Linked DNA regions of Coturnix japonica. The protein of the gene in region 1 interacts with the protein of each later gene in a pairwise test. Links are inferred from orthologs where the notes say so. Each region holds a gene or a part of one and is shown on either strand. Other genes may lie near its edges.

Region 1 (4,011 bases):
CTACAGATATGAGGGACAGGCAGAGAAACACATGTCCTTTAGGGAGTACAGTCCACTGCTCCCACATCCTTTAACATATTCCCAGGCATCAGACTGAAAACTTGCCTGCATTATCAGGTAACCACTTTGGAGTGCCTTTTCCCCCTTAGAGACCATATGCAAGTTCTTTTAAAGGTTTACTTTCCAACAGTCACTCCAAGGCTGTTCCAGAATCTGACAGCTGTGGACTGGGATAAGAGCCTGGTTTTGTTCTCTGTGAGGCAAAATTCACAGTATAACCCCACAGAGACTGGTACTGCTGTGACTCAGCACAGCAACACATAGGATGATTTCTGCAAAATGATTTGCCCCCCCCCCCCCCCCTTCCATTCTGCTGCTACTGTGCCCAACAGATTTTTACCACCAAACAATGAAAAATAAGGGAGTGATTTCATAGGTAAGACACTGCCCCAGGACTGTGAAGCGATTTCAAGAGAAATCCCAAGTGGAAGATTAATCTAGAACCTGGCCACTGTGGCAGCTCTGATCACATCACTGCCTTCAGTTCCCAGAGAAGGCAGATACTGATTGCCCAGCACTTCCCTTTCCCTCCCATAGTTTTTTAAGTAGCAGCGTTCCCTTCCAGGGAATTTCTGGTGTCCTCCAAAACTCACTGGGTTTCCTTTCCTCCCTGAGCTTCTCCAGTCTCTCTGCAATAGCTCTATCTTCTTTGGAGAGCCCTCGGTATCTGGAGTCATCTTGACTGAGTGGTTTTGCATCTGCTTTCTGTTGTCCTTTCAGATGCTTTTGCTTAGCCTCAAACGCTGCTACGCGCCTGTGACAGGGATGGAAAAAGACAACTGAAAACAGAGGTTTAAATCTTGAGATTTGAAAACATCCTCTATGAGCACAAGCTATTTGAAGGACATCAGCATAGAAAAGAAGCCTCTCATTCCTGTACCAGGCTCTCCCATACCAGCACAATGAAGCACTACTATGAATAAGGAAAACCATAACTCTCAGGTGAAGCAGCCGTGACATTTCTGAGGAGACAAGGAACATTTCACCAGCAGACTTATTTCCAAGCCAACCACAATCAGTCAAAGATTAACACAGACAGGCTGTTGTTTGTGAGCGTATTCAGAATTAGTGTCTCCTTCCACCCTCCAAAACAACCACCAAAAAAAAAACAAAAAAAACCAAACAAACAAACAAAAAAAAAAACCAATAAAAAAAAAACCAAAAAGCCCACAAAGCAAAAAGCCCATCCTTAATCCAATATTGAACAAGCAAACATCCACATCACAACCTCCTTCTTTTGCTGGACTCTATGAGGACACAGGGGTTAAGAGCTGAAGGTCTGAAAGGTTACCCTACAGCGGAAACAGGTGGCTGATCAGCAAGTGTAACTCACTTTTTGTAGTTTTCTGGTGGTGACCATTTTGCTGAACTGCTTTGAGATTCTTGTCTGAAACATAAAAAACATTGTTATCTCTGAACTCAAGGCTCCAGCAATGCTTCAATCATCTATTCTCTCAGCCCAAGAGGAATCAGAATACGTGTGTATTGATCACCTGGTACAGTTCTTTCATGACCCCATTAATATAGTGATCAGCTTATGAAAGTGACTAAGATGATACAGCTGCTTTAGACAGGAGGTGACTTCATTCCTAGTCCTATGTTCTTGTTGTTTTGCATTTGGACAAAATTTGTTTCATTTACTCTGGACACCAGGAGGAGCTGAAAGACTCTTGGCCTCCCAGAGCCTGCACGCCCCAGTTCAGCAAGCAGAGAGCGCAGTTAGGTAGGACTCCCAAGGTAATTAGCTTCCATACAGTACAGCTCCCTGAAAGGAGCAACAAACACAAAATTATATAATGCAGAAGCTAAATAAAACGTTACAGAAATAATTATGTAATCACCAGTACCGTGACGACATCTTCTAGGGCACTTGAACATCAGTCAATCCTGTGTAACTGTTTTCTGCCTCTCTGTGTTTGTGTCAAGCTGCTGACCTATGCTTACATAAGGTAGTTAGCACACTTTATTCATTCTTAGAAGGCACAGTTACCTGCACTGTGCTAAGGACAGGCAAAGGCAAACAAGGGCAACACCTTCACTGGACTATTTTCAAGGGTTCAACCATTTCTAAGGGTTCAACTGTGGAAGCTGGGTGAGTGCAGAACACCAACTCACGCAGCCTACAAAACCACAGCCAACACACACTATCTACCTGCTATCCACGCAGGGAAGAATTCCTCCTGCTCTAAATCCATAGTACCGATATTAAACAAACAAGGGAAGGAAGAGGCTACCAAACTACCACGCATCTGAAAGATCATCCTTTCAAACGGCAAAAATAATAGCGGGGCTTATTCTGGCCTCTCCTAGCCGGGCCATCACGGTCTACCCACGAACACTGGGAGGAAAAACCAAAGGCAGGATGCAGTCCCGCTGGCACTTACCCGGTGATCTTCCCGTGGCACTGCTTGCACACCTTCTGCGGAGCGCTCCCGCAGCGGGGCACCGTGGCGCTGCAGCTCAGGCAGGCCGAGCAGAAGGAGCGCCCGCAGCTCCTGCAGCCGCACTGCGGGGACACGAAGCGGGCGGATCAGCTCCCGAGCGGCGGAGCGCGGCGCGACCCGCACCGGGCTACAGCGACGGGACGCACCGACGGCCCAGCCCGGCCCCGCCGACCCCTCGGCCGGACTTGCCTCCTTCTTGAAGAGGCTGAACTTGCAGGCACACCCGTAGCAGCGGCCCTCCATGGCCCTCCCAACACCGCCATACCACGCTCCGCAGCGCCGCGTTCAGCCGGCAGGCACCACCCCGCCCCTCCGCGTCTGCGCGCGGCCCGACGGGAGCGGGTACGGGGAGCGTCGTTTGAAACACGGGCGCTGTGACAGAAGCAGCGAACCGTCACCAAACTGGATCTGGAACCTGAGTTTCAGTTTTCGTCCAGGTGAGGAACCAGCTGTACGATCAGCGTGCCAAACTTGCCCTTATTTTCTGCCTTACTCTTGTTTTCTTGGTGCTGTAGCCTCAACTTATGTCAGGGAAATACACTTTAACAACAAAAACAAACCTAGGAGTGGTAGATTTTTGGGGTGTGTTTCTGTAGTGCTTGATTTCAGGCTGCTTTCGTCTCATAGAAGTGACTGGCAAATCTCTGTCCTGGTTTTACAGATTAAGAGAGCATGTTGCTCAAAGGCCCTGACTCACCTCCCAGATAGGAACCCTGACAGTCCCAAGGCAGGTAAGGTTGGGAATCTTGGACACAAACACTCCTCATCTCATTTCCACAAGCTCGTGGAAATGGCTGTTTGAGCACAGACCTGTTGTGTAACAGCTGCTTGTACATACACAGGAATACACCTATACATGTGTAATCGTTACTGCTGTTACTCTGATTTTTAAGATTAAATCCTTACATATTGGTTTTCCAGGCTGTATATAGTATGTGATGATCTCTGATTAGAGCCTCTCAAAATCAGTGCTCACATTTGAATCCTAAACCTGTGACCATGGTGTCCCTGGTGTCTGTTGTCTGGTGAATAGTAATTCATGTATCTCAGAAACTGAATGTTAATAGCAGGCCTCTACCTCATTATTATACATGGGCAATGCCCACTGTGGGCTGATAATTGTCTATTAGATGCACATCCTCTTCTGCTATGCAATTGAGCGTACCTAAAGCTCACAGCAGGTGTCTGAATTGTTTGAGTCCTCCATTTAATATTCACAGCTAATGGCAGGTGAAAATGAACAGTGGTTAGTATAAGAACGTTCTAGATGTTGCGTTTCCCTGTTTGTTGGGCTGCAAATTTATAGCAAAATAACAAATTTAACTGAAGTCTGCAAGCAGGAATTCAAAACACAGCTGGAGAAACATTGAAGCTTTTGATATCTGCAGAAGGGAGTGGGAGATAGTCTGGAACACACGTGGAATCTCCAGCAAACCTGCATGTTCATTAAGGAAAGCAGTTAACAAAGACCCCTAACATGACTGATGAAAGGTGGAAATGTTAGACT
Region 2 (3,567 bases), on another chromosome or scaffold:
AACTACGAAGAAGCCTTCCGCTTGTACCAGCATGCTGTGCAGTATCTTATCCATGTTGTTAAATGTAAGTGTAATGCGTTGGGTGATTAAGTTTTATATTGCCTGGAGTAGTCTCCTCTATTGACATCAGCATTTAACTTCTGACTATCATTGACATTTGTTTTCTGTAGTGTGGCTGAGGTGTTATATTATGCAGCTTGTATCCTCACTATATTGCATACCTGCTTCTTTCCTGTATGAACTCTTAGTTGTATCCACAGGTTGTTTTTTGCTTATTAATTCATGTCATTTAGTTTCCTATGGTTTTTCCAATGGCATTTTTTACTCATATCAGTCACGCTCATCACCTTGGCCAGCAAAATGTCATAGCAGTTTGAGGGGCTGAAAAAGCTTCTAGTGCCATCATCCTTACTCCTGTTCAGTCAAGTTTTCAAGGCGAGGCAATGTTCAGGTGTATATTTGATTTATAAGTGATTACTTACCATTGATTTGTAGGTGTTAACTTCTTTCCTGTCACTTCTTTCCATGGCGTAGGGGTAAAAATAAGTCAATGAAACGTTTGGATATGTGGTAAGCCCCAAGAGAGCGATCTTGATACAATGTAAAGATGTTTTCTGAATGATGCACGTGTATTTTGCTGTTAACAAAGCATTGTTTCTCTTCAAACTCTCAGATGAAGTACAGGGTGATAAAGCAAAGCAGAGCATTAGGATGAAGTGTACAGAATACTTGGACAGAGCAGAAAAACTGAAGGAATATCTGAAAAAGAGAGAAAAAACTGCACCAAAGCCAGTTAAAGAGTCTGGTCCTGCTGATGGAAAAGGGTATGTTTTGGGGAAAGGTAAAGCAAAATACTTTCTCAACTCGGCTTATTCTGCGATTCAGCTTTTCAGAGATCATTGCAAATAGTGTTTTTGAAGTGCTTCACTTCAGGTAGCTACTAATGTTGAGGTACAGCGGGCTTAGAAAGGAAAAATAATGTGAATTAATATCACAGGCTTTTTGTTCTTGTTTGCTACACCTTTGAATGCTTTCATAGGAAATTCACTGAAGAATGGAAGCTGTTTTGCACTCATACTTGCTTTTTGGGCTCAATGACAGTGAGCCTAGTGACACAATTCTGCATGCGAATATCTAATAACTAGAAAATAAGTTCAGATTTGGTCATGATTTCTGTAGTCTGAGTTCTATCTGTCTCTCATCTGATGAGAGGTAACGAGGTTCTGTCATAGGCCAATGTTCCGAATCGCTCTATTGCCTCGCTCCTGCCTATTCACTGCTTTCCTTCTATTAGATCTGTTTTTCGTTTTGCACATCTGGGAGCTGAATCAGCCCACCTGAACAAGCAGAGCCTCTTTCGTATTTTCTAGGGTAGAAGAAAGGTTTCACAATGGTGTCTCTGAGTGAGGTTGCCCTTTCTGGTAGCCTTGAACAGCCAGCACTGCTCACTTGTCTCTTGAAACCTCACCTGAGGTTTCAGCGTCTTTCATTGTCTGCTCATATAATGGGTTTTATTTTTTGAGCTGTTCTGCTGGTTTATAGTGGAAGGAAGCACGAGGCTACATGTCTCCATTCCATTTGTTCCCTATCTCACCTACTTCATTCTACTTTTAATTTCCAGTTTTCTGACAAGACTATAGAGAGTTTTGTGATGCTTAGTGGAACTGACCAAGTCCAGTTGCACTTTTAAACAAGGAGTAAGTGCCAGCATCTGCAGTGAAACCATTTTGCTGCTTCCACGGTGCTTTTGTTTCCTAGAGGCTGAGTCAACACACGTATAAGTATGTTAAGAGGAAGGGCTCAGGTCTGTAAGGAAGTTGAATTGGTTGCAGCGAGGGGGATTAGAATGTAATATAGAAAAGCAAGGATATAAACTTGTAGAAAGCTGAATGAATCTAAAATCATAAGGGTTTTCATTCTTCTGAGTGATATTTTTTCTGCTTCTTGCTTTCTGATCTGTAACGCAGGATAGCAGTCTTGATGTATTTCAATGTTTCTTTTTGGTTTCCAAATCAGGAATGACAGCGATGGGGAAGGAGAGTCAGAGGATCCTGAGAAAAAGAAATTACAGAATCAACTTCAAGGTAACTCTGAAGCCTGTGTTTGTTTAAATGGAGGTGACTTTGGTCAAGTGGATTTCTAGTTGCTTGTTGTATTTTCACCAGTTAACTTGTGTCTTTAAGTGGCTCAACTAATGTACTCTACATACAAAAATAAAGTCTTTATGGAAATATGGGTTTGTGTGCCATGAAATTCAGTGGTGAATATGTTGAAATCATACCATTTATCAATTAAACATTTTCCAAAGGGAATAGTCGCAGGATCCCAGATGGCTCTTTTGTCAGACTGTGCCAGTTTATGTGCTGACATATTGCCTAGAGGCCAGAGCTACAGATGTCATCCAAGTGCGTAGTATAAGCAGGACCATCTTCACAGAAAGGCTTGAACTCAAGTTGATAAGGTGGGAAGATGGATTCTTGTTTGTTCATAGCAACAGGCAGGATTTCCTCATGTTGCACTGATGAGGGTGTTACTCAGTTGCGTAACATAATTGTGTTTTTGAAATGACGTGCTGTACACATGCAGTGATGCAATACACAGCAGTAGTTTTTTACATAGTAAAGAAACGGCTTAGCTTGATACTCCTTAACGGTAAAGAATTAGTAAGAGCTTCCCTGGCAGATGATATGTATTGATATGAAGAAACTTCATTCTCCTTATTTTCACTATAACAAAGGTGAGATGCATTTGTCTGATCTCTCAGTTTCTGTCATTTCAGAAGCTGTTGTACACCTTTGTAAAATGTATTCTAGTTTTGCTTCTCTATACATTTACTCAATTCTATGTGTAGCCCTATGGGACAGTTTCCTGTACTTTAAAATCAATAAGCGTTGGATTCTTAGCCTGTGCCTCACTATAACCATTTTGTTTCTTCCCAGATTAATCCAACCTTCGGTTTCCTATGAACCATAAGGTTCTTGCTTATTAATCCTCTTGCTTTAAACATCTGAGATGTGAGATCTCTGGTGTCTTTAAACTTAACATAGGAGTCCCCTATACAGTGTAAGCTCTTGGCAGCCCTCACTTTGCTTATCTTCATTTTACTTCCCACGACAGCTACGGATATGCCCTGCATTTAGTTTTACTGCCTTGTTACTCTTAGCTGACTTTGCCTTATGGAACTTTCCACATCTATGGCTGTGTATCAACCAATTCACAGAGCTCTGAAGGCATAAGGGGAAAGTGACAAGAAAATAGCTTGCAAAAGCTGGTTGTGAGCTTATAGAAAACCCTTTGTAGAGAAAAGTGGCAACTGCATTGCTAAGTATGCTTGAGTACAGAAAGATAAGCATTAGGCCATTGACACTGGTTCATTTGGAAGATTTCTCTTACCTTTTGGATTTGCCTTGAATAGGATTTCACAATCTGCAGCTGGCTCACCAGCTCCACTGTGAGCTGTCCCATCTAAAAGATGCCCAGGTAATGGAGTTTTTATCTTCAGACTGACTAACCTGAAGTCTGGAGAGACAGGGGACATCACAGCTCAGCAGCTAAAATCAAATGAAG

The links.
Region 2: the proteins of ZFYVE19 (region 1) and VPS4B interact in binary tests that used the Homo sapiens proteins (3 or more experiments, as listed by UniProt). The two-hybrid records come from large-scale screens. The link is inferred for Coturnix japonica from reciprocal best matches to the Homo sapiens genes ZFYVE19 and VPS4B.

What each region holds. Positions count from the first base shown.
Region 1 is NC_029520.1:21,663,436-21,667,446, reverse strand, and holds the start of ZFYVE19 (abscission/NoCut checkpoint regulator), read right to left. Parts: upstream 2,822-4,011; 5' UTR 2,748-2,821; coding exon 2,694-2,747; intron 2,567-2,693; coding exon 2,445-2,566; intron 1,448-2,444; coding exon 1,394-1,447; intron 815-1,393; coding exon 654-814; intron 1-653. UniProt on the Homo sapiens protein: Key regulator of abscission step in cytokinesis: part of the cytokinesis checkpoint, a process required to delay abscission to prevent both premature resolution of intercellular chromosome bridges and accumulation of DNA damage.
Region 2 is NC_029517.1:63,124,806-63,128,372, reverse strand, and holds part of VPS4B (vacuolar protein sorting-associated protein 4B), read left to right. Parts: coding exon 1-64; intron 65-673; coding exon 674-824; intron 825-2,016; coding exon 2,017-2,084; intron 2,085-3,567.